Linked DNA regions of Sus scrofa. The protein of the gene in region 3 purifies or fractionates together with the protein of the main gene of each other region. This does not show direct contact. Links are inferred from orthologs where the notes say so. Each region holds a gene or a part of one and is shown on either strand. Other genes may lie near its edges.

What was found.
Region 1: the proteins of EFTUD2 (region 3) and DDX21 purify together in Homo sapiens (affinity purification with mass spectrometry; 3 studies listed by BioGRID and IntAct, with this or other methods). This does not show direct contact. The link is inferred for Sus scrofa from reciprocal best matches to the Homo sapiens genes EFTUD2 and DDX21.
Region 2: the proteins of EFTUD2 (region 3) and EEF1A1 fractionate together in Homo sapiens (co-fractionation; 4 studies listed by BioGRID, with this or other methods). This does not show direct contact. The link is inferred for Sus scrofa from reciprocal best matches to the Homo sapiens genes EFTUD2 and EEF1A1.
Region 4: the proteins of EFTUD2 (region 3) and PRPF3 purify together in Homo sapiens (affinity purification with mass spectrometry; 3 studies listed by BioGRID and IntAct, with this or other methods). This does not show direct contact. The link is inferred for Sus scrofa from reciprocal best matches to the Homo sapiens genes EFTUD2 and PRPF3.
Region 5: the proteins of EFTUD2 (region 3) and PRPF8 purify together in Homo sapiens (affinity purification with mass spectrometry; 9 studies listed by BioGRID and IntAct, with this or other methods). This does not show direct contact. The link is inferred for Sus scrofa from reciprocal best matches to the Homo sapiens genes EFTUD2 and PRPF8.
Region 6: the proteins of EFTUD2 (region 3) and PRPF19 purify together in Homo sapiens (affinity purification with mass spectrometry; 3 studies listed by BioGRID and IntAct, with this or other methods). This does not show direct contact. The link is inferred for Sus scrofa from reciprocal best matches to the Homo sapiens genes EFTUD2 and PRPF19.
Region 7: the proteins of EFTUD2 (region 3) and USP39 purify together in Homo sapiens (affinity purification with mass spectrometry; 4 studies listed by BioGRID and IntAct, with this or other methods). This does not show direct contact. The link is inferred for Sus scrofa from reciprocal best matches to the Homo sapiens genes EFTUD2 and USP39.

The regions. Positions count from the first base shown.
Region 1 is NC_010456.5:72,060,213-72,064,016, reverse strand, and holds the end of DDX21 (nucleolar RNA helicase 2), read right to left. Parts: intron 3,494-3,804; coding exon 3,449-3,493; intron 2,895-3,448; coding exon 2,625-2,894; 3' UTR 239-2,624; downstream 1-238.
Region 2 is NC_010443.5:92,420,430-92,424,989, reverse strand, and holds the start of EEF1A1 (elongation factor 1-alpha 1), read right to left. Parts: upstream 3,040-4,560; 5' UTR 3,007-3,039; intron 2,324-3,006; 5' UTR 2,289-2,323; coding exon 2,145-2,288; intron 1,950-2,144; coding exon 1,770-1,949; intron 1,649-1,769; coding exon 1,352-1,648; intron 1,269-1,351; coding exon 1,118-1,268; intron 1,030-1,117; coding exon 773-1,029; intron 685-772; coding exon 450-684; intron 350-449; coding exon 225-349; 3' UTR 1-224. UniProt on the Homo sapiens protein: Translation elongation factor that catalyzes the GTP-dependent binding of aminoacyl-tRNA (aa-tRNA) to the A-site of ribosomes during the elongation phase of protein synthesis.
Region 3 is NC_010454.4:18,487,630-18,491,433, reverse strand, and holds part of EFTUD2 (116 kDa U5 small nuclear ribonucleoprotein component), read right to left. Parts: intron 3,580-3,804; coding exon 3,514-3,579; intron 2,753-3,513; coding exon 2,717-2,752; intron 722-2,716; coding exon 631-721; intron 1-630. UniProt on the Homo sapiens protein: Required for pre-mRNA splicing as component of the spliceosome, including pre-catalytic, catalytic and post-catalytic spliceosomal complexes. Component of the U5 snRNP and the U4/U6-U5 tri-snRNP complex, a building block of the spliceosome.
Region 4 is NC_010446.5:98,768,833-98,773,391, forward strand, and holds the start of PRPF3 (U4/U6 small nuclear ribonucleoprotein Prp3), read right to left. Parts: upstream 2,893-4,559; 5' UTR 2,773-2,892; intron 1-2,772. UniProt on the Homo sapiens protein: Plays a role in pre-mRNA splicing as component of the U4/U6-U5 tri-snRNP complex that is involved in spliceosome assembly, and as component of the precatalytic spliceosome (spliceosome B complex).
Region 5 is NC_010454.4:47,888,576-47,892,379, forward strand, and holds part of PRPF8 (pre-mRNA-processing-splicing factor 8), read right to left. Parts: intron 2,931-3,804; coding exon 2,766-2,930; intron 2,680-2,765; coding exon 2,461-2,679; intron 2,331-2,460; coding exon 2,118-2,330; intron 1,724-2,117; coding exon 1,598-1,723; intron 1,502-1,597; coding exon 1,396-1,501; intron 1-1,395. UniProt on the Homo sapiens protein: Plays a role in pre-mRNA splicing as core component of precatalytic, catalytic and postcatalytic spliceosomal complexes, both of the predominant U2-type spliceosome and the minor U12-type spliceosome.
Region 6 is NC_010444.4:10,857,741-10,861,063, forward strand, and holds the end of PRPF19 (pre-mRNA-processing factor 19), read left to right. Parts: intron 1-243; coding exon 244-399; intron 400-607; coding exon 608-677; intron 678-915; coding exon 916-1,001; intron 1,002-1,302; coding exon 1,303-1,473; intron 1,474-1,633; coding exon 1,634-1,739; intron 1,740-2,433; coding exon 2,434-2,531; 3' UTR 2,532-2,575; downstream 2,576-3,323. UniProt on the Homo sapiens protein: Ubiquitin-protein ligase which is a core component of several complexes mainly involved pre-mRNA splicing and DNA repair. Required for pre-mRNA splicing as component of the spliceosome.
Region 7 is NC_010445.4:59,128,985-59,132,788, forward strand, and holds part of USP39 (U4/U6.U5 tri-snRNP-associated protein 2), read right to left. Parts: intron 2,061-3,804; coding exon 1,918-2,060; intron 1-1,917.

The DNA.
Region 1 (3,804 bases), on a different chromosome or scaffold from region 3:
TGTTCAGTGGGTTAAGGACCCAGCGTTGCCATCAGCTGTGGTGTAGACGCCAGATGTGGCTGGGATCCCATGCTGCCCTGGCTGTGGCAAAGGCCAGTGGCTATAGCTCTGATTCAGCCCCTAGCCTGGGAACTTCCATATGCTGCAAATGCAGCCCTAAAAATACAAAAAAAAAAAAAAAAAAAAAAGAATTTCAAGCTTCAATTTTAGTTAAAAAAAAAGTTACCAAAACCATAAATAGTAAGTACTAATATCTTTATTATGGCGTAAAGCCTTATTTTCATACATTAACTCAATTTTACAGTAAAAACATCTTATGTACAACTGTAAAGAAACTGCTGCACAGATAGTTCCAACATAAAAATTGATTGTATTTTAAAAGTTCATTGAATTGATACCTAAATTGTAAAATATTTTCTCTGTAGAAAACAGTAAAAACAATAACATTTCCCAGGTTAGCTCAACAAGCCTATTTAAGCACATGGTAGCTGCAGTATACATTTATAAATATGGTTTGAATTCAGGGATTCAGGAAAAACTTTAGCTTCATTTATTTATTTATTTGGCCGCCCTGCAGCATATGGAGTTCCTGGCCCAGGGATCAGCTCCGAGCTATGCCACAGCTGCAGCACAGCTGGATCCTTTAACCCACCAGGCCTGACCGGGGACAGAACCGGCATCCCAGCACTTGATCCTGTTGTGCCACAGTGGGAACTCCATAGCTTCATGTATTGAAATAGTCATGTTTTCCTTAAAATTGAGTTTTGTAAAGTTAAATTCCCATCCATCTCTCCTCTCAACCCCCAATCTTGATTTTTGCCTGATGATTTTTCTTTAAGCTAATCCACATCAAGGTTTTAACTGTATTTTCCTAAAGGTACAGTGTCCTTTTAATCAACTTAATAAAGTACCCATTCCTATCCAAACCGAAACGTTTTGGTTGTTATTTCAGCAAAACCAGAAGCTAATAAAACATGATCCACAAGGCACATGACTTGTATGTCATCAAATACCTCCCCTTACTCCCTCTGGCTTGATGGGAAACCATGAGGTCAAGTGATAAAACTGACATGTGGATCAAGGAATAAAAGCCAAGAGAATGTGAGAACAGAAACATCTAGTCAGGATTCAAGTTCAGAGCTGAAATCCAAATAGAAAAAGGATGCTGCCTCAAGAATTAAGGAGCTGAGCTGGCTACCCGAGCCCCTTACTGCAGAGGTGACTGCTAAGTAGTTGGAAATAAAGAGCCAGTGAGAGAAATCAGGGCCTAGAAAGATTTCAATTGTTCCAAATAATTAAATGAACACAAGACAGGCCATGTGTTTGAACTTCTCCTATCATAGTCTGTTTCCTGAGATTCCCAATACAGAATTTCTAGGAATTAAGTCAAGAAGACAAAGCTACACTGAAGCTCCTGCACCCCTTGCAAGGTTTCCCAGAAAAATCATTTGAGACCTCAGAGCAATACTGGGCCAGGGGCTATATTCCCTTCCTCAGTTCCCTCCAAGCAACAAATTAACTGTCTGTTAAAACGAAGACCCTAAATGGCTACAACCTTTCAATAGAGTAGCAGTCTATTAGAAAAAGACCCTATCCTGCAGCTATAAGAACTAGGCCTCATTGTACCTAAAAACTCCAGCTTGCCTCTTAGAAATTAAACTCTAGAAACAGTAAGGACTCGGTAAGTTTTCACCATTAAAGGGATGCTTTATCATGCATCTTCACCTGTTCCTCTCTTTGCCTTCTTCTCACATGTAGAAACTATTTTCAGTGGCTTTTTTTGATTCTTCTGCAAGTTTCTGCCCCCTACTCCCTTAGCTCCTTCTTGGTAAATGTTAATCTTCCAACCAGAGGTGAGTACATTATCAAGCACCATTTAACCCACCTCCTTGCTTATGAAGAAAGTTATGGGGCCACCTTATATACCTGGAATTCCTTAGACTTGCTTTCCAGTAAAACATGGAATTCACTGAAGCATGAATCATCTTATATTGAGAAGCTAAAAATGCACCAAAATGCACATAACAATGGCTAATCTATGTAATATCTCCTATCAAATGTATCACCATCCTCCAAATCTAGAGCATACACTGTGACACATCCCAGCTAAGTTTGCTTCAAAACATTGCTCAGTATTAATTCTCAGAAGACACATTATAGGACCACAGGAGTAATCATTAAGCAAGTGGCTGAGGAATCCCAATTACAGAACAAAGCCTTGAGTGCTCAGCGTGCTTCTCTAGAAACTGTCGATTCCCCATGGTATTCATTCAAGGAAGGACACTACTGAGACACTTCTAAGTACAGACAGATCAACTTAAAAAGTATCAGCAGATACATGCTTGATTTTACCTTGTAACCTATAGACAATGCACTAGGATAGGCAATGAATCCATATACCTTTTCAAAAGGAAAATTCGATACAGAAGTAGCAATAAAGTTATAAATGACAGTCATCAGAGGAAATAATTTAGATGAAGCTAGTCTCTCTCTTGAAGAGATGGGGACTGGGTAAGCGGTCAGGAAGGATAGACAATGTGCTTTTGACTTTGTATGAAAAACAACGTTCAGTTCCACGTTGGTGAACATGTTCTGTTTTTGCCGTGTAAATCCTCTACTTCAAATTACTGTCCAAACGCTTTGCTAAAACTCCGCTTCTGGCCTTTGTTTTGGAATCTGTTGCTTCTGCTGCCACCTCCTGATCGCTGTCCCCTGAAGTTTCTGTTTCCTTCCCGCTGTCCCCTGAAGCTTCTGTTTCCTTTCTGCTGTCCCCTGAAACCTCGACCGCCTTCCCGCTGTCCCCTGAAGCTTCGATAACCTTCCCGTGGTCCTTCCAGCTCTGGTTGCTCGGTGGCCACAGAGAGCTGCCAGCGTCGGGAATCATGCCATTTTTCCTGTTGAGAGATGGTTTTGTTTTTACCTGCTTCGATTTTTATCGAATTTAGTTTTAAAAGGCATGAGAAAGACAAGATTTTTACCCTTTTTCTAAAGAAAAACCAGATAACCTAAGTGCTTAAAGGTCACTGGTCAAAAATAAGTTTCACTGTAAGAAATACCCTCAACATTTTTTCATTTCAATCACTACAGGGTATCCCCAGCTGTCAGGTAATAAAACATATAGAGCTACCACCACACGCAGTCTCACAGCAGTACTGAATAAAAGACACAGCAATTAAATATATCTGTATAAACCCTGTGTAGCACATATGGAGAAAAAAGCTGGATAATATTTGAAATGCTGTCAAAAGGAAAATAGGAACACTGACTAAGAGAAATACTAGACTAAAAAAGGCTAAGAGAAAAAAATACTAAAATGTAATTCTTAATTGTCATTAGTAGAGGGACTAGAGCAGTTGTTTTCCTATTATTCTGTATTTTAAAGAATAAACATTTTAACTTTAAATTACAATTTAGATAGGTTAACTTCAAAACCAAGAGAAAATAATACCTGTACTTCTGTTACTGCTGCAGTAGGGATATCAAAGCAAACACCCTAGAAATCAAAACAAATGCAAGTTAAGTCAGCCTTTGACAAGAATTATAAAATGTACATTAAGTGATATTCCCAAAGACCAAGTACTATGTTAAAACAAACAAACAAACAAACAAACCAGGTATCAGTTTTAGATAAACTTCAGACAAGCCCAATACATCATATCTCCCCAAAGCACAATAGCAAAAGGCCAAAGATATAAAAACAGGACTCAACACTACCTAGAACTGACTAGAAGCCATTTGTGACTATCACACTGTGCTAATTCTCATAGAGCTATTAGCTGAGGAGACAGAGGCTTGGAGAGGCTG
Region 2 (4,560 bases), on a different chromosome or scaffold from region 3:
CCATTAAAAAGTACTGATTTTAAAAACTAATAACTTAAAAACTGCCACACACAAAACAAATGGTCCACAAAACATTCTCCTTTCCTTCTGAAGGTTTTACGATGCATTGTTATCATTAACCAGTCTTTTACTATTAAACTTAAATGGCCAATTGAGACAAACAGTTCTGAGACCGTTCTTCCACCACTGATTAAGACTGGGGTGGCAGGTATTGGGGATAATATTCATTTAGCCTTCTGAGCTTTCTGAGCAGACTTGGTGACCTTGCCAGCTCCAGCTGCCTTCTTGTCCACAGCTTTGATGACACCCACAGCAACTGTCTGTCTCATGTCACGAACAGCAAATCGGCCTATTAAAACAAAAATTAAATCACCATGAGAAACACTTTCTCTACATAACTGCTTTTCCATTTTTACTGAAGCTTAATTACACTAAAAAGGCACTCTTACCCAGAGGAGGATAGTCAGAGAAGCTCTCAACACACATGGGCTTGCCAGGAACCATATCGACAATGGCAGCATCACCAGATTTCAAGAACTTGGGGCCATCTTCCAGCTTTTTCCCAGAACGACGATCAATCTTCTCCTTCAGTTCAGCAAACTTGCAGGCAATGTGAGCTGTGTGGCAATCCAGCACAGGTGCGTAACCAGCACTGATCTGGCCAGGATGGTTCAGGATAATCACCTTAGGGAGAAAATTTGCATTTAGCACATTTTAGACATTTAGACAGTTAAGGTTCTGGCAGTTTAAAAACCTGTCACTGAAGTGTTACCTGAGCTGTAAAGCCAGCTGCTTCCATAGGTGGGTCATTTTTGCTGTCACCAGCCACATTGCCACGACGAACGTCTTTGACAGACACGTTTTTGACATTAAAGCCCACGTTGTCCCCAGGAAGGGCTTCACTCAAAGCTTCATGGTGCATTTCAACAGACTTGACTTCAGTTGTAACATTGACTGGAGCAAAGGTGACCACCATGCCAGGTTTGAGAACACCGGTCTCCACTCGGCCCACAGGGACTGTACCAATACCTGAAGTATTCACAGCACAGCATAATTATCTCGTATGAAGACAAACATCACTGCAACCCATACCAGCTGAGTGTAACGTTCAACTTACCACCAATTTTGTAGACGTCCTGGAGGGGCAGGCGCAAGGGCTTGTCAGTTGGACGAGTTGGTGGTAGAATGCAATCCAGAGCTTCAAGCAGTGTGGTTCCACTGGCATTGCCATCTTTACGGGTGACTTTCCATCCCTTGAACCAAGGCATCTAAAACACAAGATCATCAATTAGTGTTTTCAAACTTATCCCTTCCCAGACTTAAGTTTTGAGAACTCATCAAAACCACTTACATTAGCACTTGGCTCCAGCATGTTGTCACCATTCCAGCCAGAAATTGGCACAAATGCTACTGTATCAGGGTTGTAGCCAATTTTCTTAATGTAGGTGCTGACTTCCTTTACAATCTCTTCATATCTCTTCTGGCTGTAGGGTGGCTCAGTGGAATCCATTTTGTTAACGCCAACAATGAGCTGTTTCACACCCAGGGTGTAGGCCAGAAGAGCATGCTCACGGGTCTGCCCGTTCTTGGAAATACCTGCTTCGAATTCACCAACACCAGCAGCAACAATCAGGACAGCACAGTCAGCCTTTAAAAAAGAAAAAAAGGCCACACCCTGTGAAAACCTCTCCAAAAAGGACAGATCCATGGTTTCGCCAATTTATAGATAACTCAAAATGTTACTCTCAGGAGTTCTTAATCCTACAAACCTGGGAAGTGCCTGTAATCATGTTCTTAATAAAGTCTCTGTGTCCTGGAGCATCAATGATGGTCACGTAGTACTTGCTGGTCTCGAATTTCCACAGGGAGATGTCAATGGTAATACCACGCTCACGTTCAGCCTTTAGTTTGTCCAAGACCCAGGCATACTTGAAGGAGCCCTTTCCCATCTGCAGGGATTAAGAAGGGTTACTCGGTAACTAAACTCCTTAGTCCCACTTGGAAGCAATGCTAGGTTTCACTTCCATCTCCTAAACTTGGCTGGAGTTAAGCCACTTAGCAAACTTTGCAATGTACTAGTTCAAGTCAGATATACACTAGTTTTAGAGAACTACCACTTAATTTGCTGACGTTACTTTACCGACCTCCGCAGCCTCTTTTTCGAACTTTTCGATGGTTCTTTTGTCGATCCCACCGCATTTGTAGATCAGATGGCCAGTAGTGGTGGACTTGCCCGAATCGACGTGTCCGATGACGACGATGTTGATGTGAGTCTTCTCCTTTCCCATTTTTGCTTAGCTTTTAGCGATGGCTTTCACGACACCTAAGACGACAAAAACCTTCTTTAAACTACTGTCCCGACGACCGGAGACTCAGGCACAACCCCAACAGCCAAGGGCAAACTCCAGGGAGCATTAGCACCGGCGCCCTGCGGGCCCTGCCCGGCCTACACCCAGCGAACGGGGCCGCCCCGGCGCCCAGCCCCTCCCCCACCCGGGCCGCGAGTCCCGGGAAGCGGCGCGGGCAGCACCGCCCGGCCCTTTGTGCGCCGCCCGCCGTCCGCGTCCTCCATCTTGAGACCGGGAGCGGCCATCTTTCCGCGCTCGCAGCCCGCCCGGGCGGGGCGCTGGGTCTCCGACCGCCCGCCCCGCCCCGCCGCGGCCGTCTGCCCCGGGACCGCCGGGCACGGAGGCCACCTTGGGCGGCCTCGGCTGGGCCGCCCTGGCAGTAACACGCGGCTGCCGGCCGAACTCGAGCGCGAAGACAGACGGGGCGGGCGCGAAGGCGCGGATCGCACGCGGCGGCCACGGCGCCCCAGCAGGCCGCCACCGGGCACGCGGTAGGGAACCGCGAGAGCGGAGGGCCTCGAGTTCTCCACCTCCCCCCGCCCGCAGCTCGGAATCAGGACCAGGGCGCAGAGCCCTCTACGCGCGGGGGGCCGGGAGGCACGCTAAGGCCGTGGCCACCGGCGGAGGCCATGCGGACGGAGGCCACACCCGTACTCACCTGTGTCCTGGCGGCAAACCCGTTGCGAAAAAGAACGTTCGCGGGGACCACGGCGCTTATATATGGTCCTCCCCCACCCTCGGGGAAAAGGGCGGAGCCAGCACACGACACCACTTTCCCAGTTTACCCCGCGCCACCTCCACCCGGCACCGGTTCCACCGCCGTCCCCTCCCCCCATCTTCGGGGACCGTGGGCGATGTGCGTTCAGCCCACTGACGAGCACACGGCGCCCGGCGCATGCTCCTCTCAACCAGGAGGATGACGACTGCTGGTGGGTGGGAGGCGGGGTCGAGCGCTCACTCGGTTCTAGGTTTAGTGGGAGTTTATCGACGGTCCCTGGGATTTCCCTGGCTGAGGAGAGTCCTCCTTTTGTATGAATTACTCTCCGCACAGCTGGGGGGTGGGGCGGCGGGGAGGCGTCCAGAATCTTCCCTGAACCGGTCGTAGCTTAACTGCAAAGTTGGACCGAGATGGGAGCCCTTACCCGGCAGTACCCCACCGGTCCTCAGTCTTGCGGTCTCGCAGGTTAAGGACTAACCCCTGGAGCCGCTTCCTCTGCCGGGGCTTCTCCACCGCCCTTGCCGTCCGCGCCCCTTCCGGCTGGAGAGGGAGGCGTAAAAGGCCGGGGAACCGCGGCGGCAGGGGCCTCGGGGCGGTCTTCAGGGCCGAGAATCCGCGAGTGGCTCAGTTTGCTGACCAACAGCCTGGCGAACAGGCTCCTGCGCTGACCTCTTGGCTTTTTCCATTCAGTTCTTTTATCTAAGTTCGTTCTACACACCACGTGGTACTCCAGACGTCCAGTTTTTGAGTTTAGAATAGACTTAAGTACTACAGTTTTCTTTACTTCTAATCCTAATTTTATTACGTTTAAGACCCTGAGTGTGTGTCTACCCTCCTATTAACATTTTTTTTCCAGTGTATACTCTTGGTTGCAAGCATGAAAAACCTAAAAAGAATTTTTTGAGTTCAGTGCTTATACACGATCTCAAGTAGAGACTAAGATCTACAGCGCCAGGAAGCTTATCCACCCAATTTACTACTCCAACGTTTGCTGTGAAATCACTGTTTCTCAAAAATGGCCTATCCCATTTGAATAAACGGCTTCATCTTTTGTCGTCCTATCCATTGTGACTGCATTTTAGGCATAAATCCAGGGCAAGACAAGATGAGGCCTTTTTGGTTGGCAATCAGGCAGATATTCAAAAATATTCCTGAAGAAAGAGGAACCTTTATTTTAAATGAGCTAATTACTAGATCGTCTCTTCCACGTGTAGAGCACTACTGCAACTTTTTGAGCCAATCTATCAACAAATATTTGAGAACCTACTATGTGGCCAGAGCTAAGAGTGGCTCCGAAGCATATGCAAAAGAAATACTTCCTTTGGGGGAAGAAACCCACAATCTAATTGGAAAAGGGAAACTAATATATAGAGCAATGGGAAGTAGTTAAAAGCAAATTTGTATGGTGCTTCCTTACTTTCTATTCCATTGTAGAATCTAGTTTTTCCAGTCCTTTTAGTTTCTTTTCACCATCCAATAGCTTATTTTCTTTTT
Region 3 (3,804 bases):
AGAAAGAACCTGCTTGTACCCATGAGGATGCGGGTTTGACCCCTGGCCTCACTCAGTGGGTTGGGGATCTGGCATTGCGGTGAGTTGTGGTGTAGGTCACAGATGAGGCTCAGATCCTGCACTGCTGTGGCCCCCTAGCCTGGGAACCTCCATATGCCATGGGTGTGGCCCTAAAAAGCAAAAAATAAAAATGAATCAAGAGAAAAAGGCAACCAAGGGACAAGATATGCTGCTCCATGGCAACCTGTACATCCCCAGCCACTGGTAAGTACCCGTGGTCTCCATCAAAAGACTGAGATGGCCTGAGGCTGGGACCATGTCTGACTCATCTTTGTCACCCCAATGTCTAGCACAGTGACTGACAGGCTGAAACTAATATATGAATAAGATTCCCCCAAATTTAAATAGTCTAGAGCAGAGTCAAGAGAGGAATAAGACAGAAGACCTGGAGCACAGTGCTTGCTAATTAACTGGTTAGAAGCAAAGGAAACCGTTAAAAATGAAAATTATCATCTTAATGAACAGAATGTAAAAAGAAAGACATAATGCTCTTTTCTGTTCTAGAAATAGTAGGAGCACAAGAAAAAAATAAGTCAAGGTTTTGACAGTAAAAGGTCAGGAACATCCTACCTGGAGTGTCCATGATATTGAAGAGATAGGATTTTCCTTTGGTATCTGGCAAGACCACTGTCACAGGAGTACTTTTGATGCCAACACCCCTCTGAAAGTCACAGAGAGAGAGACAGGATGATCAAGAGCTCATCCTATGCAGGAGGGGTTTACTCTGCTTTGGGGGCTTCCCAGTTGCTAGTAAGTTACACCACTGTCTCTCCTTGTAGTGTGTGTGATTTTGTAACCTAGTCCTCTAATCAGAATGACCTTGAAGACAAACTATCTTGGTCTTAACAGCATTTCCCAGGATGGGGGAGAGTTGGTTCAAATACAAAAAAGTAAAAATAAAAGAACAAGCAAGCAAAGCAGTGGTAAACCATAATAGGAGAATCCACAGTCCTAAAATCTTATCTTCCTCGTACACTATAAATAAAAATAATTAAACATCATATAAATCAAAAGAAACTATCTGGGTTATTTTAGGTTCCTTTTTTTTTGGCTGTGCCTGTGGCATGTGGAAGTTCCCAGACCACACAAGAGATCAAACCCAAGCCAGAGCTGTAATAGCACTGATCCTTAACCTGCTAGGCCATGAGGGAATTCCTAGGTTTTTTTTTGTTTTTTGGGTTTTTTTTTTTGGTCTTTTTGCCATTTCTTGGGCTGCTCCCTCGGCATATGGAGGTTCCCAGGCTAGGTAGGGGTTGAATCGGAGCTGTAGCCGCCAGCCTATGCCAGAGCCACAGCAATGCAGGATCCGAGCCACGTCTGCGACCTACACCACAACTCACGGCAATGCCGGATCATTACCCCACTGCACAAGGGCAGGGATCGAACCTGCAATCTCATGGTTCCTAGTCGGATTTGTTAACCACTGCGCCGCAACAGGAACTCCTTTTTTTTTTTTAAATATAGCGAAAGTTATAGTAGGAGTTGCTGCTGTGGTACAGTGGCTTAAGAATCTGATTGCAGCAGTGGAGGGGCAAGTTCAATTCCCCAGCCCGTCACAGTGGGTTAAAGGATCTGGCATTGTCACTGCTATGGCTTATGTCACTGCTGTGGTGTGGGTTCAATCCCTGGCCTGGGAACTTCTACATGCCACAGGCACAGCTAAAACCCAACAAAAAAAAGCCCAACTCCAGTCAAATATATACACACATATATTTTTTAAATAGCTAATATTTGTTGATTGCTTATCATATGCCAGCACCGTTTAGAGTTCCTTTGGTTAGTCAAACTTATACATTTGTGCTTTCCATGTGGTCATTTAAGAGAGACAGAAATAAAGGAGGGGAGTTCCCATTGTGGCTCAGCAGAAACAAATCTGACTAGCATCTGTGAGGACACAGGTTTGATCCCTGGTCTTACTCAGGGGGTTAAGGCTCTAGGGCTGCCGTGAGCTCTGGTGTAGGTCGCAGACGCAGCTCGGATCCTGTGTTGCTGTGGCTGTGGTGTAGGCCAGTGGCTACAGTTCCAATTCAACCCCTAGCCTGGGACCCTCTATATGCCATGGAAGCAGCCCTAAAAAGACACACACACACACACACACACACAAAAAAAAAAAAAAAAAAAAAAGGAGAAGAGGAAACAGAAGGTGTTAGAGGGGAGGGATAAAGATCCCCTCTAGATGGAAAGACTAACCAGATGGAATGGAAAAGACAGAGATATACGTGCACTCCTTTACAGAGAAAGAGAAGAACAAAGAGAGATGAACCTCTTCTCTAAGGGAAGCTGCCCCTAGGAAGAGCGACATATGGATGGAGTCATCCTATAGATTTTAAGGATGATGTCATTTTAAAAATCATGTTTGGCTTCTGTATAACTTACAGATAAATGTACACACCACCTCTTGGCATCTGCCCCATTAGGCTAAATTAAATCCAGGTAAGGACAGGAGGGTCTCTCCTTTTATCCTACAGTTTGCCTACCCAGCTCTCTTTCAAGTTAGAGATCATGGGACGAAGCAGGGAGATAAAGAGGTTGAGGGATGGGAGTTATGGGGGACGGGTGCTGTATGGGCCAAAACGTTATCATAAAAACTTTCCCTACAAAACCACCACTGCTGGGTCTGGTGTGGCAACAATCAGATTCCCAAAGGCACACTTACCTCTTGCTCTGTGAAGAGGATGTCTGTGTAACACAGCTGAAAAAAGAAAAAAAAAAAAAAATGTAGTTACCACCTGAATTCAGATTCTTGCCACCCACAAACCATCAATCATTCCCCTCACCCACTCCTAACCTGGGGGCCTCTGGCTCAGGAGGAGAACAGATGGAAGGCAAGAGGGTGCGCTACAGAGAGTTCAATGAGACTAGGGCCCTCCCAGGTGGAAAATGCTCCTGGATGGTTTTATGGGGGGAGTCAGGGAAGTCACTAAGGACCGAGGTGGCTGGAGAGCTAAATCACATCAAATGCATTGAATTCTGCACAGTGGTAAAGGAAGACACCTCTAGCCTTCACGGAACACCCGCACATCAAAACAGTCAATCTGGCGGAGACTGAACAGTTATTGCACTGAGACTTGCAGCCACACTGGGCCTCATTCACAGGCATTTAAATTTATCATGGAAACAACAAGGTCCAACTGTATTATATTTATAGAGTAGGCTATTAATACTATGACAGGAAAGAATAGGCTATAAAAGTCAGGATATATCAGAACACAGGAGGGATCTCAAGTGCAGAACAGATCATCCAAAAATACTGCAGGTTAATATTCTCTATGTTCCTGAGAAAATGGAAATTATTTTCTTAAGGGCTATTAATAGAAATTACAATTATGAAGCAGCATATTATAGGCATCATTACTTATAATGAGAGTGGGAGGTTAGAAGGAAGGAGAAGGAGAGACACCCCCCTGTGTTCTGAATGGTTCATCCCAAACCCTCCACAGAATTTCTACTTACATCTTGGTCATAGCGCTTTCTGATTTCCGGGTGAGTCTGCTCTATTAAACAATCTACAAAACACGTCTGCAAGGGAAAAGAAAGTTATGTTCTGCTGGCCACAGAGGAAAATCGACTCCACCCTCCCCCAGTTACCAATACACCACACAATTCAGGGATAAGGAGAGGAGGAGGAGAGCAGGGGAGATTATGGGACAACAAAGAAATAAAGAAGCCACGGGATTATTTTCAAATGAAAGATGAAATCTTTCTTGGGCAAGCGTCCTCCAGGAAATGAAAACTTATAAAATA
Region 4 (4,559 bases), on a different chromosome or scaffold from region 3:
CCATTCTGTTTGATTTTTAAACCTAACTCAGAAAGTATCAGTGGATCAATGAAATCTGTGGAATAAACAAACCCTGAATTTAACCTAGTCTAAGAAATGAGTTCCAGCTTCTTTTTTGATTCTGTCATATTCAAGGATTGCAAATATTTATATAAAGTCCACTTAGAGGTCAGCTTTTCTATTCTTATTTCCAGGCAGGTATTCCTCAACCCAGCCGTTCTTCTTTTTTTTTTTTTTTTTGGCAGCACCCATGGCATATGGAAGTTCCCGGGCCAGGGAACGAAGCCGAGCCAAAGCTGTGGCATGGCCAGATCCTTAACCCATTGCACCACATTGTGAACTCCAACCCAGGCCTTCTTTAAGGCATGCAAATAAGGGAGGCTTTATCCACATCAGTCATCCTATACTAAAGCTCATAATCCTTAAGGCTGTTTTTGTCAATTTTTTTTTTTTTTTTTTTTTTTTTGTCTTTTTAGGGCTACATCTTCAGAAGTTCTCAGGCTAGGGGTCCAAACGAGCTGTGGCTGCTGGCCACAGCCACAGCCACAGAGGATCTGAGCCTTGTCCATGAGCTATATCACAGCTCACAGCAAAGCCGGATCCTTTAACCCACTGAGGGGACCAAGGATCAAACCCGAATCCTCATGGTGACTAGTCAGGTTTGTTACCACTGAACCACAATAGGAACTCGCTCTCACAATTCTCTGTAGTCACATTCATCCTAGTGGGAATTCTGTACTCAGATATTTTTCTCTTATGTTCTACAGGGCCTCTGTCATAAATATTCTCTCAGTTCAGAAAAGATTACTTTCATTTTGGATGTACTCTCTTTCCACTTCTATTTTTCTCCTGTTTAGCTTAACAGAGAAAACACCATCATAAAAGACTCTCTAGAACAATCTTTAAATGCAAATTAATACGATTCTTCTTCTTCCTTTTTTTTTTTTTTTTTTGCTACTGTACGTTCTGGGGCCAGGGATGGAACGTGGACGACACAGAAGCATCTCAAGCTGCTGCAGTGACAACACTGGATTCTTAACCCACTGAGCTACAAAAGAACGCTTCAAGATGTTTTAAGATGGAGTTCCTGTCATAGGATAGTGGTTAACGAATCCGACTAGGAACCATGAGGTTGTGGGTTCGATCCCTGGCCATGCTCAGTGGGTTGAGGATCCGACGTTGCTGTGGCTCTGGCGTAGGCCGGCGGGTACAGCTCCGATTAGACCCCTAGCCTGGGAACCTCCATATGCAGCCCAAGAAATGGCAGAAAGAAGAAAAAAAAATTACACTGTACCTTTTAGGAGAAAAGATATCCAGAAAGAAGAAAAAAAAATTACACTGTACCTTTTAGGAGAAAAGATATCTTAAAACTTTTTTTGCCCCCCTTGGGCCGCTCCCACGGCATATGGAGGTTCCCAGGCTAGGGATCTAATCGGAGCTGTACCCGCCGGCCTACGCTAGAGCCACAGCAACGTGGGATCCGAGCCGAGTCTGCGACCTACACCACAGCTCACGGCAACGCCGGATCCTCAACCCACTGAGCAAGGCCAGGGATCGAACCCACAACCTCATGGTTCCTAGTCGGATTCGTTAACCACTGAGCCACGACAAGAACTCCGGTACAGTCTAATTAACTTCTGCATTCTTGGTAGGTTTATCCTCTATAAGACCTGTTGCTAAACAGTGTATTTAATTTTGGTATAACCATATGAAGCTAGTGAAGTCATGAAACTAGGAGTAAAAGATTTTGTGTCTTACTGACATGTTATATAATAAATCTATGATGGCTCTATTTACCCATCATGAGACAGCACTATAGCTTATCAATTTCAACATGCTAACTGTTCAATGCTCAAAAGAAGGGTATTCAGACAACATAGGGAGTGAAGAAAGAGCTCTTCCATTTACTAACCTTCTGTCAAGCAATTCCTCTGAGCCTCAGTTCATTCATCTTACAAAAGGAGGACAACTGCCATAGCTATCTGGCACTTAATTCATTCAGTAAGTATTTACTGCACAACAACTAAGTGTTAATGTAGTGGGATACTGCCAAGGATACATACAACAGTGAACAAAAGAGACAAGAATCCTCACCTTAGAGGGCTTATATTCCACTAGAACTGAATCATAGATTAGAAAGTTTAAGCCGTTTGAAAATCCAAAGCAATAAACGGGGTACCACTCTATAAACGAACCGTATGCCCAAGCACTATACTTATGTACTCAATTTCAACCCATTCCCTCCATAATATAACGTGCAGACTAAACAGTCAGTGGGCAAAAATCAAACTTCCAAATAGTAACTAGCTTTGTCATTAATCAGACGTTCAACAATAACTGCGTGGGGCGGGGTGGGGGTGGTTACGGTGTGGAGGGAGAGAGAGGAAGGCAGAATGATCTCAATGAGCAGGTAGCAGAATCTAATCTTCTGAAGGAATTCCTTACTTCGTGCTCTTCTTTGCTACAAGTCGAATTTCCTCCCTTAAACCCTATCCTTTGCTTTTTGCTCTCTCCATCTCTCTGACCGGACCCTTTCCCCACCTTGTTCTACCCAAACTCATCTCAGAGGTAGTCTCCTCACCCTGTCCCTTTCCCGCCCCCGCCCTTTTCCTCTCAACAATCTCATTCCAACCCGTTCTCGCACAGAACCTGGTTCTTTCCTCAGCCTCCTTTCTGTTGAACCTCCCGCCTCGGTCCTCCCTTTGGACTGAAACTTAGCCCCAGCCGCTAGGACCCGAGCATACCCTCTCTGGGCCCGGGGCCACTACTCACCTCACAAACTTCAGCCCCTGAGACGGAGCCCGAACGTTACACCGGAACCGGAAACCCTCCGACCGCCCTACGGCCTGCCGTCGCTACCGCCACGGCTGCTGCCTCGCCACGGTCCCACAACTTGTGACGAAAGAGGGCGGGGCCCCGGTTCGCGCAGCCGTAGTAGCTACTTTTCCGCGGCGGAGCGCATGCGTGGCGGAGCCGTAACGATTTCCCCCGGCAAGCTACTTGGCTCCTTCGGTTCCCCGTGCTAAACCTGTTAACTACATTAGCGCAAAATTAATGTTACCTGAAGCATAAATTGAGCTGCTTGTAGTATTCCCGTGGAGAATAAGTGCGCTAAGGCTATGGCTAGAACTAAAAGCAGAGCTTCTGCGTTTGGGCTAAACCTGGACTTTCTGGTAGGAAGTAAACTTCAGAGTAGTGATCGTTAGTATTAACCACTCTCTCCTTAGCCTTTGTCCTTAACAGTGGTGCCAAGAGACCCAGAAAACCGACTAGTGTGGGAGGAGTCTGAAGATAGTACCCTCTCACACACCTTTGTTTCTTTCTTCCATTCATTCGCAAAACAAATAATTGCTGGCAGTCTAGTACTTTTTAGGCCCCACCTGCAGCATATATAAATTCGGGTTAGGGGTTGAATCAGAGCTGCAGCTTCTGGCCTATGCCACAGCCACGCAGAATCAGAGCTAGGACTGTGACCTACACCACAGCTCAGGGCAACACTGGCTCCTTAATCCACTGGGCAAGGCCAGGGATGGAACCTGTGTTCTCATGGATACTAGTGGGGTTCTTTACTCGCTGAGCCAGGACAGGAATTCCTAATCAACCATTTTGGTCCTCAACTAATCCTTACCTAACAAGCACCTTTACTTCTTGCCAGCTCCAATTATAATTCTTTTCTTTTTTTTTCTTCCTTTTTACGGCCTAACTTGCAGAATACAGAAGTTGCTGGTCTAGAGGTTGAATCGGAGCTGCACCTGCTGGTCTGTGCCACAGCCACAGCCACACTGGATCTGAGCCGCACCTGTGTTCTACACTGCAGCTTGCTGCAACACTGGATCCTTAACCCACTGAGCAAGGCCAGTTTGATGTGGGATCAAACCCACATCCTCGTGGATACTAGTTCTTAACCCCAATTATAATTCCTCCAATTATAATTTTTAATAAACAACTTATTTAACTACCTGTAAGCTTGTAAGCCTCCCCAATTTTGTAGTCCAGCAGAACACGATTCAAGTGCTTCTTAAACCTGTGTCTCCCTCAGTAAAGAACTTATATAAAGCTAAACTCATGAAGTTCCCACTGTGGCCCAACAGGATCACAGCATCTCTGCAGTGTTGGGATGCAAGTTTGATCCCTGGCCTGGCACAGTGGGTTAAGGACCTGGTGTTAGGCTGCAGTTGGCCCAGGAACTCCATGGCTTTCCATATTACTTAGTGAAAAATGCCCTACACTCCATTACTTCTGTGATCTCACTTGTTTTTTGTTGTTGTTGTTGTACCCGAGGCATGTAGAAGTTCCTGGGTCAGGGATTGAACTCACAGCACAGCAGTGACAATACCGGATCCTTAACCACTAGGCCACGAGGGAACTCCTGTAATCTCATCTACTGCTCTTTCCTTTACTCATTCAGCTCCACAGCTACAGAATCCTGACCCCTTGTTGTTCCTTGAACATGCCAAGTATACAAGGCCTTTGCACTTGTTGCTTTCTGCCTGAATTACTTATCATTCAAATAGCTGCATGGTTGGTTCCCTCACTCCTTTGGATTTTTATTCAAAATC
Region 5 (3,804 bases), about 29 Mb from region 3:
CAGTGGCTACATCTGCCATGGAAACTGGGCTGCCTGACAAGAGAAGCCCTAAAGGGCCAGAGCAAAGGGGGCCGTGGGAGCAGAAAGCAAGGCGAGGCCAACCAGGAAAGCAAGCAGCACCTCTCACACCCCAACTGGCTCTCCACCAAAGGCCTCCCAGAGGAGCCCCAATACCAGAAGAGGTAAACACTGCAATCACCTTCCCTTCGAACTCCAAACACTGGGCTTGGGGAAGGAAATCTGTTCATGCTAAGAACGTAATGGAACATAGATCAACATCAAAAACAGTATTCTAAGGAGTTCCCGTCGAGGCGCAGTGGTTAACGAATCCGACTAGGAACCATGAGGTTGCGGGTTCGGTCCCTGCCCTTGCTCAGTGGGTTAAAGGATCCGGCATTGCCGTGAGCTGTGGTGTAGGTTGCAGACGCGGCTCGGATCCCGCGTTGCTGTGGCTCTGGCGTAGGCCGGTGGCTACAGCTCCGATTCGACCCCTAGCCTGGGAACCTCCATATGCCGCGGGAGCGGCCTAAGAAATAGCAACAACAACAACAACAACAACAACAAAAAAAGACAAAAAGACAAAAGACAAAAAAAAAAAAAAAAACAGTATTCTAAGTGTAAAAAGCCAATCACAAAAGACCACACACTATGTGATTGTACTTACACGAAACATCCAGAAAAGATAAATATATAGAGACAGAAAGTAAATTTATAGTTGCCTAAATAAGGAAGGGTCAAGTGAAAAAGAGCAACTACTGATGGGTACAGGGTTTCTCTTTGAGGAAATGAAAATGTTCTAAAATTAACTGTGGAGATGGTTACAAACCTGTGAAAAAACTAAAAGCCATCAAATTATACACTTTAAAGGGGCCACTGTGTGGTAGTGAATTACAGCTCAAGGGATTGGGGAAAAAAAAAAGAACACACTAGAAAAAGACCAGAATAAGATGATATGGAAAGACAAAGAAGGGTTCGGATAAAGCCCCGATGGATAATCTCAGAAACCAAGATGATATCAATAACTTAGTTTGGGCCAATTGCCCAACTCCCAAATTAGCTTATAGCGTGAGGGGAATACTTCAGAAAGGAAAATATGTCTCCCTCATAGATGAATTTTATCTAGTAATTCTTCTATCCAGTCAAGAAACTTCTCTCTTCATCTCTCACTATGGCGCAGCAGGATCAGTGGCAATTTGGGAGTGCAGGGACGCAGGGTGGATCCCCAACCCAGTACAGGTTAAGGATCTGCAGTTACTGCAGCAGCAGCTTAGATTGTGACTGCGGCTCAGATCTGATCCCTGGCCTGAGAACTCCATATGCCAAGGGGCAGCCAAAAAAGAAAAAGAAAGAAAGAAATTTCTCTTAGAAGACTGAGGTCAAATGCTTTACTCTCACCTTGACAGAGTGTCTGTGGGATATTGGGTTGATCAAAGGATCAAAGTAGAAAGCTGGCAAGTCAGGATCCTCAGTTTTGATGAACACAACATTAGGAGTGTGGTACCTAAAATGAAAGAAAAGTCATCAGTCAAGTTCTCCTGCCCTGGCCCAACCTAAATGCCAGCGTCGCCTTTCCCCCAGCTGGGACTAGTGCTCTCACCAGGTGAGGTGGACGTGGTGTGGAAGGTTGTTGTACAAGTAAGGAAAGGCAATCTTGTACTCAGTGCGGATAGGCTGCCGGATGATGATCTTGTTAATATCATTGAATTCATTCCAGTCTTCATCCCTAGGGTACAAAATCAAGGATGAGCAGACGAGCTGGGGAGTCTGGAAACTACAAAGGAATCTTAGGATCAAGATTAGATTTCAGGAGTTCCCGTGGTGGCGCAGTAGAAACGAATCCAACTAGGAACCGTGAGGTTGCGGGTTCGATCCCTGGCCTTGCTTACTGGGTTAAGGATCCGGCGTTGCCGTGAGCTGTGGTATAGGGTCACAGACACGGCTTGGATCTGGCATTGCTGTGGCTGTGGTGTAGGCCGGCAGCTGCAGCTCTGATTTGACCCCTAGCCTGGGAACCTCCATATGCTGCAGGTGCGGCCCTAAAAAGACAAAAAAAAAAAAGCATCAGATTTTATTCATTCAACCCAAAGTGCCTAAAATCCCTCCTCTCTCCAACTTACTGTAGGTTGATGTCTCGGACAAGAGGCTCAAACTTGGGGCCTCCAGGAATGGCCATATTGAGTGCCTTGGAGGTAAAAAAGGCCTTCAGATCAAATAGATAGAAGTAGTTGTCATCTACCAAGTCTGTCAGAAGCTGATTGGCCAGGCGGTAGAGAGTGGACATCATGGGCAGTGTGAACTGCCAGCGCTGGTAAGTGGAACCATTCACATACCTAGGGAAAAAAAGAGGCCCACCTCAGGTAGGTATACCAGCAAACCACGCCATACTACCTACTGTTCTCCCAAGACCCCTTCTGGAGTTCCAGCACTCTCACGGGAGCAGTAACTCCACCCATCACTCACTTTCGGCTGTCCCTCAACGGCTGGTGGTCATAGAACCAGTCTAACACCGGGGCATCCTCCTCAGGATCCAGCTCTAGCTGAATGGCTTCCAGTGGCTCGACATCTAGGATGTTGTCAGCATAGTCCAAAGGCGGCTCCTCATCATCAAAAGGGGGGAAACGCATCCTCTTGAAATGCCTCCTGTCTCTTTTTTCTCGACGCATCATAATCCACATTGACCTGGAAAAGTCAACAATGTCACATCAAGGCTTCTACCCACTGTCCCCCAACCACCACCACCACCACCACATTCCAGGCCTTCTTACCCCCACTGGGAGATGTAGACAGGCTCAATGACCCAGGGAATCTCATTGACAAAGGAAATGGCTCCGGTGATGTGGTATAGCACAGGCACATCCCGAATCTGCTCCCAAGGCATCGGCATGTTCTCCAGGAGTTTGAGGACTGCATGGGGCATGTACTTGAGAGCACTGCAACAACAGAATGAAATATTTAGAAATGACAAGGTGGGAGTTCCCCTTGTGGCGCAGTGGTTACGAACCCGACTGGTACCCATGAGGACAAGGGTTCTATCCCTGGCCTCATTCAGTGGGTTAAGGATCCGGCATTACCATGAGCTGTGGTGTAGGTTGCAGACGTGGCTTGGATCCCACACTGCTGTGGCTGTGGTATATAGGCCAGCAGCTACAGCTCCGATTCAACCCCTAGCCTGGGAACCTCCACATGCTGCAGGTATGGCCCTACAAGGACAAAAAAGACCAAAAATAAATAAATAAATAAAAGACAAGGTGTTCTGCTACCTGTGCCATGCAGAGAAGCCACTAGGTATCACAGTGCCACATTCCACAGAAAAATCTGCCTTACAATCCAACTCCAAACGCAGCGCACAGGTCGTCCAGGATCAGGAACCACGGCCCCACCTCCAACTATGCCACTGTTGCTCTTAAACCTCACAGTCCCACAATACTGCATTCGGTCCCTCTAAATCAACAGCTGTTCCCCTAAACACAGCTTTTAGGTTCTCATTTGCTAAGACATTTGTACGTGTACTCATTCAGCTTGGGAATACAGAAAAACAAGAGTACAGACACCTCAGAAGTTAACTGTCCCTGAAACTGAGGGTTCTGGTCACTTAGAAGTTACAGGCAACATTGTACCATTTTATAAATAATAGCAACAAAATATTCATCACACTTTATTGTAACCATTTGTCTAATAACTGTTACTTCACTAGGCTGTAAGCTCTAGCAAGGCCATTACTGTCTTTTTTTTTCCTTTTCTTTTCTTTGTCTTTCAGGGCTGCACCTGCAGCATTATGGAAGTTCCCAGGCCAAGGGTCCAACT
Region 6 (3,323 bases), on a different chromosome or scaffold from region 3:
CCTGGAAATAGGGTGTGCGGTTTGTCCTTCTTGCCTCTGGGGCAGTTGTCTTTTTACCGCTAGGTGGCGGGGCCTCCCCGCTTGGCCAAGTGCTGTTGAATTTCCCATTCTAGTAGCATTTAGGCATCACTGGGTGAGTGCGTGGTGCCGGGGCCAGGCTGTGGCCACTCCCAGCCTCCTTTCATAAGATGGTTGGAGGCCATCTCCTCTCTCTGATGATCTGCCTCTTTGCTTTCCCTTTAGGAATTGGTGTTTTCCGCCTCCCCAGACGCCACTATCAGGATTTGGTCGGTTCCGAACGCCTCCTGTGTACAGGTTGTTCGGGCCCATGAGAGCGCTGTGACAGGCCTCAGCCTCCACGCCACTGGGGACTATCTCCTGAGCTCCTCTGATGACCAGGTGTGGTCCCAGGCAGGGCCCTGAAGCGGTCTCCTGTCCCCAACATCCTGGGAGGAGGGAACACCCTACCCGCCCCTGTGGTTCCCCAGAGCCCCGAGGAGAAGGTTCTCTGCTGAGGGGGCCGGCCTTGCCAGGGTCCCTGCCTTCCTGAGGGCCCGCCAGCCCTGGGGACCTCACGTCTCACCAGCTCCGTTGTCTCTCTTTTCAGTACTGGGCCTTCTCTGACATCCAGACAGGACGCGTGCTCACCAAGGTGACCGACGAGACCTCTGGCTGCTGTGAGTTGCCCCCAAGGCACTGGGGTCTTCCTTTGCCACGTGTCATTTATTTATACGTTTCATGAAGTTGTTTGCTCATTTGTTCTAAACATACACTTAACCGCAGAGCCGGCGGAGTGGTGGGCGTGGTGCTGGCACGGTGAGCAGCGGGAGGAGCAAGGAGCCTGCCTTTGCTGCCTTTGCTGCGCCTGGCCTTCCCGGTGGGCTCTGACCCTGCGTCCCCCTCCCCTCTCCACAGCTCTCACGTGTGCGCAGTTCCACCCGGATGGACTCATTTTCGGAACAGGCACCATGGACTCTCAGATCAAGATCTGGGACTTGAAGGTAGGACTGGCAGCCTCCGTCTGTGGCCCAGGGTTGGAGCTCTCGTGACTGTGGGTTGTGATGACGTGCTTATGGCACCTGGCCCTGGGGGTGTCCCGAGAGTGGCGAGGCAGTGGCTGTGTGTGTGACACGGTAGGTGTGGTCTGGGGGCCCTGGGCTGGGCCGTCCACCCCTGCTCGTCCTCCGGGTTGTCCTTCCCTGAGGGACAGAAGAGGGCATCCCAGACGTGGAGTTTGGTGAGGCTTATCTTCTCCCTTGTGACCAGCGGGTGACGTTTTATTCCCTGCCCTCCAACTGATAGGAGCGAACCAACGTGGCCAACTTCCCTGGCCACTCGGGCCCCATCACCAGCATTGCCTTCTCCGAGAATGGCTACTACCTGGCCACGGCGGCCGACGACTCCTCTGTCAAGCTCTGGGATCTGCGCAAACTGAAGAACTTCAAGACGTTGCAGCTGGATAACAACTTTGAGGTGCTCCTGCCCCCCTTCCCTCCCCTTCCCAGCGCCAGCTCTCTTGGTTGCCGCTCCTCATTTGTCATCATTGATTCACTGAATTACTCTAAGCTGCCTCTGTTTATCCCAGTTACCCATAGTTCTGCCCCCCTCATGTGACCTCTCCTGATTCTGACAGGTGAAGTCCCTCATCTTTGACCAGAGTGGAACTTACCTGGCCCTGGGGGGCACAGATGTCCAGATCTACATCTGCAAACAGTGGACGGAGATTCTTCACTTTACAGGTAGAGGCCAGCCCTGGGATCCTGAGGTCTCTGAGTGCCCTGGCCCAGAGGAGAACGGGGGACGCTGCACTGGTTAGGAATGTCTAGGGTAGCATGAACTTGCCAAGGTAGCTCTTAATCACTGCCTGGGCAGTAGAGGTTAGGGGCCAGGAAAACCTCGCAGAGTCAGACTGCTTGGCTCTAAATGCTAGCTCCTGTGACATTGGGCTGGTTACTTAACCTCTGGAGGATGGTAAGAGTACGTAATAGTCCTCCACAGGCTCAACCAGCTGGGGATCAGAAATAGTTGGAAAATGGAGTTCCCATCATGGCGCAGTGGAAACGAATCCGACTAGGAACCATGAGGTTGCGGGTTCAATCCCTGGCCTCACTCAGTGGGTTTCAGATCTGGCGTTGCCATGAGCTATGGTGTAGGTCAAAGACTTGGCTTGGATCTAGTGTTGCTGTGGCTGTGGCATAGGCTGGCAGCTATAGCTCCGATTAGACCCCTCGCCTGGGAACCTCCATATACTGCGGGTGTAGCCCTAAAAAGACAACAACAACAAAAAAAGTTGGAAAAAAGAACCCAGAAAGTAAAACTTGAATTGGATGACGGTGACTGGCTGACACAGAGCACTGGGTGGGCCGGGGCGTGTCGTCAGGGGTCGGTGCTGGGAAAAGCCGCCTCACTGTTGTCTCTTGTCTCTTTTCGCAGAGCATAGCGGCGTGACCACAGGGGTGGCCTTCGGGCACCACGCCAAGTTCATTGCTTCAACAGGCATGGACAGGAGCCTCAAGTTCTACAGCCTGTAGGCCCCGTTCCTCCTGACCGGAGCTGGGCCTCGTCTCAGTAGTGGGGTAGAGTTAGGGGTGGGGGCGGGGGGTGGGGGAGAAGAGACTACTGGGGGGAGGGGGGCGTCTGGGACGGGACATTCACATCATTTCACTCTGGTCTGGGTGGTGGCCTGAGAGCCAGGGCGGCGTGGACCACCGTTATCTGTGCAGCCTCCGGGCCCAGTGGGTCGGCCGTGGGAGGCAGGACTGTCACCTCTGAGGGCTCAGGGTCGGCGCCCAGGGCCTCTCCCCTCGTGGCGTCCATGGAGTTGGAGTTGGTGGCCGTTCCACAGCCACCTCATTTCCCTTCCTGCGCATCGGGGAGAGGCTGAGCCAAGGGAACTGTGAAGGGCTGGGCGGAGGGCTCAGGCAGGGTTTTGTAAGCAGTGATCTAGTTTCATTAAAAAAAGAAAACAATAAACAGAGTCCACTTCCTGTGTGTGTCTATAGTGGAGAGGAACCCAAGTCGGACCTGGCCACCAGAATGCCCATCGTTTCTAAGTTTTAAATTGCATAACAGAAATAAAAAGGAAAGCAAGAAATCTACAAGCCACCTGCCAAAATGACTCTTCCCTCTCTATGCAGGCTTAGACCTGGTGTTTTTTTGTTTTTTTTTTTTTTGTCTTTTTTGTTGTTGTTGTTGCTATTTCTTGGGCCGCTCCCGCGGCATATGGAGGTTCTCAGGCTAGGGGTTGAATCGGAGCTGTAGCCACCGGCCTACACCAGAGCCACAGCAATGCAGGACCCGAGCTGCGTCTGCAACCTACACCA
Region 7 (3,804 bases), on a different chromosome or scaffold from region 3:
ACTGTACATAATCACTGTAACAATTTCAACATGGCAAACCAGGCAGATCATGCAGACTTTTTTTTCTTTTATTTTCTGGGACTTTGCTTCTTTATTTTTTTCTTTTAGTCAAGTAGGCAGAATGGTTTCAAGTAGCAGAAATCCACCCTAGGGAGCTTAAGCACAAAGGGGAATTTATTCAAGGGTTTCAGACCAGGAAATGAGACCAGGCACTGAAGAAACAGCAAGATCCGAGAGCTTACCTGCCCTCTTTTCTGCTTTAAGAGCAGCTTTATTCTTTCCTACCAGCTTTCTCTTCTTTATGGAATCCACTTTGGCTCCCCTACAGCTTCCAAAATTTTGGAAGAAATTTTGAAAGAAGAAGAAACTATTGACTAGGTTCCCTCAACTGGGACTTTTCAAGGTCAAATTTATTTATTTTTTTAACAATTTTATTTATTTATTTATTTGGTTATGGTATACCGTGGCTTGATGTGGGATCTCGGTTCCTAGACCAGGGATTGACCCGGGCCACAGTGGTGAAAGCACCTAATAATCCTGACCACCAGACCACCGTGGAACTCCTATCAAATTTATCTTTAATACATGAACACTCATTTGTTTTTTTAGATAGAGGAACATTCCTGATGTACATGGAATAAGGAGTCTTTTTGCTTTATTTGTTGAATTGTCTGTTGAAATATACATGTACATTGGTTATTATAAAATAAAGAGCTATTACTAATGCTTACTGTTATGACTATGATGATGGTAAACAGGGAAACAGACTGACAGTTAACATAAATATTAAGAGAATGCTAACTACATTAGTTTCAGGAAAAACATAACCTTCTGCAGCCTACAGATATTTATGGCAATTTAAATACAAGGTAGAATAAGAGAGATTATATCCTATATCTATTACTATCTGATGTGCTACCACTCATAACATGAAACACAGTAAGGTCATCTCTGGAAGAACTGACAATAAATGCTCACAGCAGTCACATCCAGTGGTCACTTCTAGATATGTATCTCCTTGTGAATTTTTTTTTATGGCCACACCCATGGCATATGGAAGTTGTTAGGCCAGGGATTGAATCCGAGCAGCAGCTGTGGCTAATCCTTTAACCCACTGCACCGGAGCAGGAATCAAACCCACGTCTCCTCAGCAATCAGAGCTGCTACAGTTGGATTCTCAACCCACTGTGCCAAGGTGGGAACTCCTCCTTTGAATTTTATTTTTTTATTTTTTATTTATTTATTTATTTTTTTGGTCTTTTTTTCTTTTCTAGGGCCACACCTGCAGCACATGGAGATTCCCGGGTTAGGGGTCCAATCAGCCATAAACTCCGGCCTACACCAGAGCCACAGCAACATGGGATCTGAGCCGCGTCTGCGACCCACACTACAGCTCATGGCAATGCCAGATCCTTAACCCACTGAGCAAGGCCAGGGATTAAACTTGCAACCTCATGGTACCTAGTCAGATTCGCTAACCACTGAGCCACAAAGGGAACTCCTCCTTCTTTGAATTTTAGACTACACGATGAATATATTACCTGTCCAAAAATACAAAAAGTTTTCAATGTAAACAATGAAGGAATAAACAGATTATTTTGTTCTAACTACACTGCTTAGCTTTCTATGTGTTAGTGATAGCTATTTATTCCTAGAGTGTCCCTCTTGGACTAATAAATAGTCATTGTTAAAGGATAATTTAGATATGAGTCCTAGGAAATCCACATGAGTTCTAGATAGCCAACACGCCAGCTAGCTGCTAAGAAGTGACTTCTTACATTATCTTCTTAACTTATGTAGTGTAGGTAGGTTCACTGCAATCTCCAACTTAAAGACAGTCCAAAATTAAGAGTGGTACAAAAATATGAAAATAAATTCAAGCTTACTCCCCCTAAGAGTTAGGAAGGGAAAACTCACGTAATAGGAAAGTTGACAATAGTTGGATTCTTCTCCACAAAGAAATTGTTCTTAGTGAATCTCTTAATACAAAAGATGAGATATGGAGGCAGCTTGGTGAGCTGGAAGCGCTTCAGAAAGTTCTCCTTGTAAGTCTTATATTCCTAGAGTGAGAAAAGAAAACTATCCAATTAGTGCTGGAGCAGGAGAGCAGGGACATGAGCTTTGTTTTGGTTGCGGCTGGGTTTTTCAACATAATTTTGCCTTACACTTAGAATTCAGAAGGCACCTGATCCCATTAACCACCTACAAGGCTTGGGAATAGCAGTCTGCTAAGGCCAACTAAAATACCTCAGCTGCTGGTTTCAGCCAGCATATGGCCATACTGCTGAACTCTAACCAGTCACAAGGGTATTCTTTTCTATAAGGAAAACCAAACGTCAAGTGAGAAAGAGGATTTGTTATTAACAAGGACCTACTGTATAGCACAGGGAAATCTACTCAATGTTCTCTAATAACTTAGATGGGATAAAAAAAATGGGTATGTGTATAACTGATTCCCTTTGCTATATGCCTGAAACTAATGCAACATTGTAAGTAACCTATAATCCAAAAAAATTTTTTTTTAAAAAGAGGACTTGTTAAAAGCTCAGAATTTAAAAACCATGAAAGTTTTTTTTTTTTTTTTTTAAAAAGGGGGGAGTTCCCATCACAGCTCAACGGAAATGAATCTGACTAGCATCCATGAGGACACAGGTTCAATCCCTGGCCTCGCTCAGTGGGTTAAGAATCCAGCATTGCCATAAGCTATAGTGTAGGTCACAGACAGGCATGGGTCTGGAGTTGCAGTGGCTGTGGCATAGGCCTGTGGCTACAGTTCCAATTAGACCCCCTAGCCTGGAACTTCCATATGCCGTGGGTGCAGCCCTAAAAAGCAAAAAAATAAAAAATAAATAAAGTATAAAAATGATACAAAGTATGTTCTCTGACCACAGTGAAATGAAATTAGAATCAGCAACAGAAAGAAATTTGAGAAACTCACAAATATGTGAAAATTAATAACAAACTCCTAAATAACCAGTAGATTAAAAAGGAAATCAAAAGGGAACTTAGGAAAGAATTCAAGGTGAATGAAAATGGAAATACAACATATAAAAACACACAGGACAGAGTTCCCATCGTGGCTCAGTGGTTGGCGAACCCGACTAGCATCCATGAGGATGCAGGTTCCATCCCTGGCCCTGCTCGGTGGGTTAAGGATCTGGTGTTGCCATGAGCTGTGGTGTATGTTGCAAACGCAGCTCAGATCCCTCGTTGCTGTTGCTGTGGCTGTGACGTAAGCCTGCGGCTGCAGCTCCAATTCAACCCCTAGCCTGATGCAGCCCTAAAAGACAAAAAGGCAAAAAACAAAACAAAAAAAACCACACAGGATGCAGCTAAAGCAGTGGTTAAGAGAGAAATATATAGCTATAAATGCCTACATTGAAAAATAAGACCTCACATTAGTAACTTTCCACCTTAATACACCATAAAAAAAGAAAAGCAAACAGAAAAAAGGAAACAAAAAAAAAAAATAAGAGGTTAAAATTAATGAAATACAGAATATAAAAACAGTATTTCAGGTGTTCTCCGGTCACCAGGTTAAGGATCCAGTGCTGTCACTGCTGTGGCTTGAGGGGGCACAGCTATGGTGAGCATTCATCCCCTAGCCTGGGAATTCCCACATGCCATTGGTGCAGCCAAAAAAAAAGCAGGAACCAACAGGTTAAAAAAAATTCTCCCAGTACAGAATCAAAAAGGAGTAAATTTGTCAAAAATGAAGAAAGGAATTAAACCAAGAAACAGTTAACTCAGCAGATAAAAAGAACCTTTTAACTTAATGAAGAGCAATGTTAAATAATAATTTTT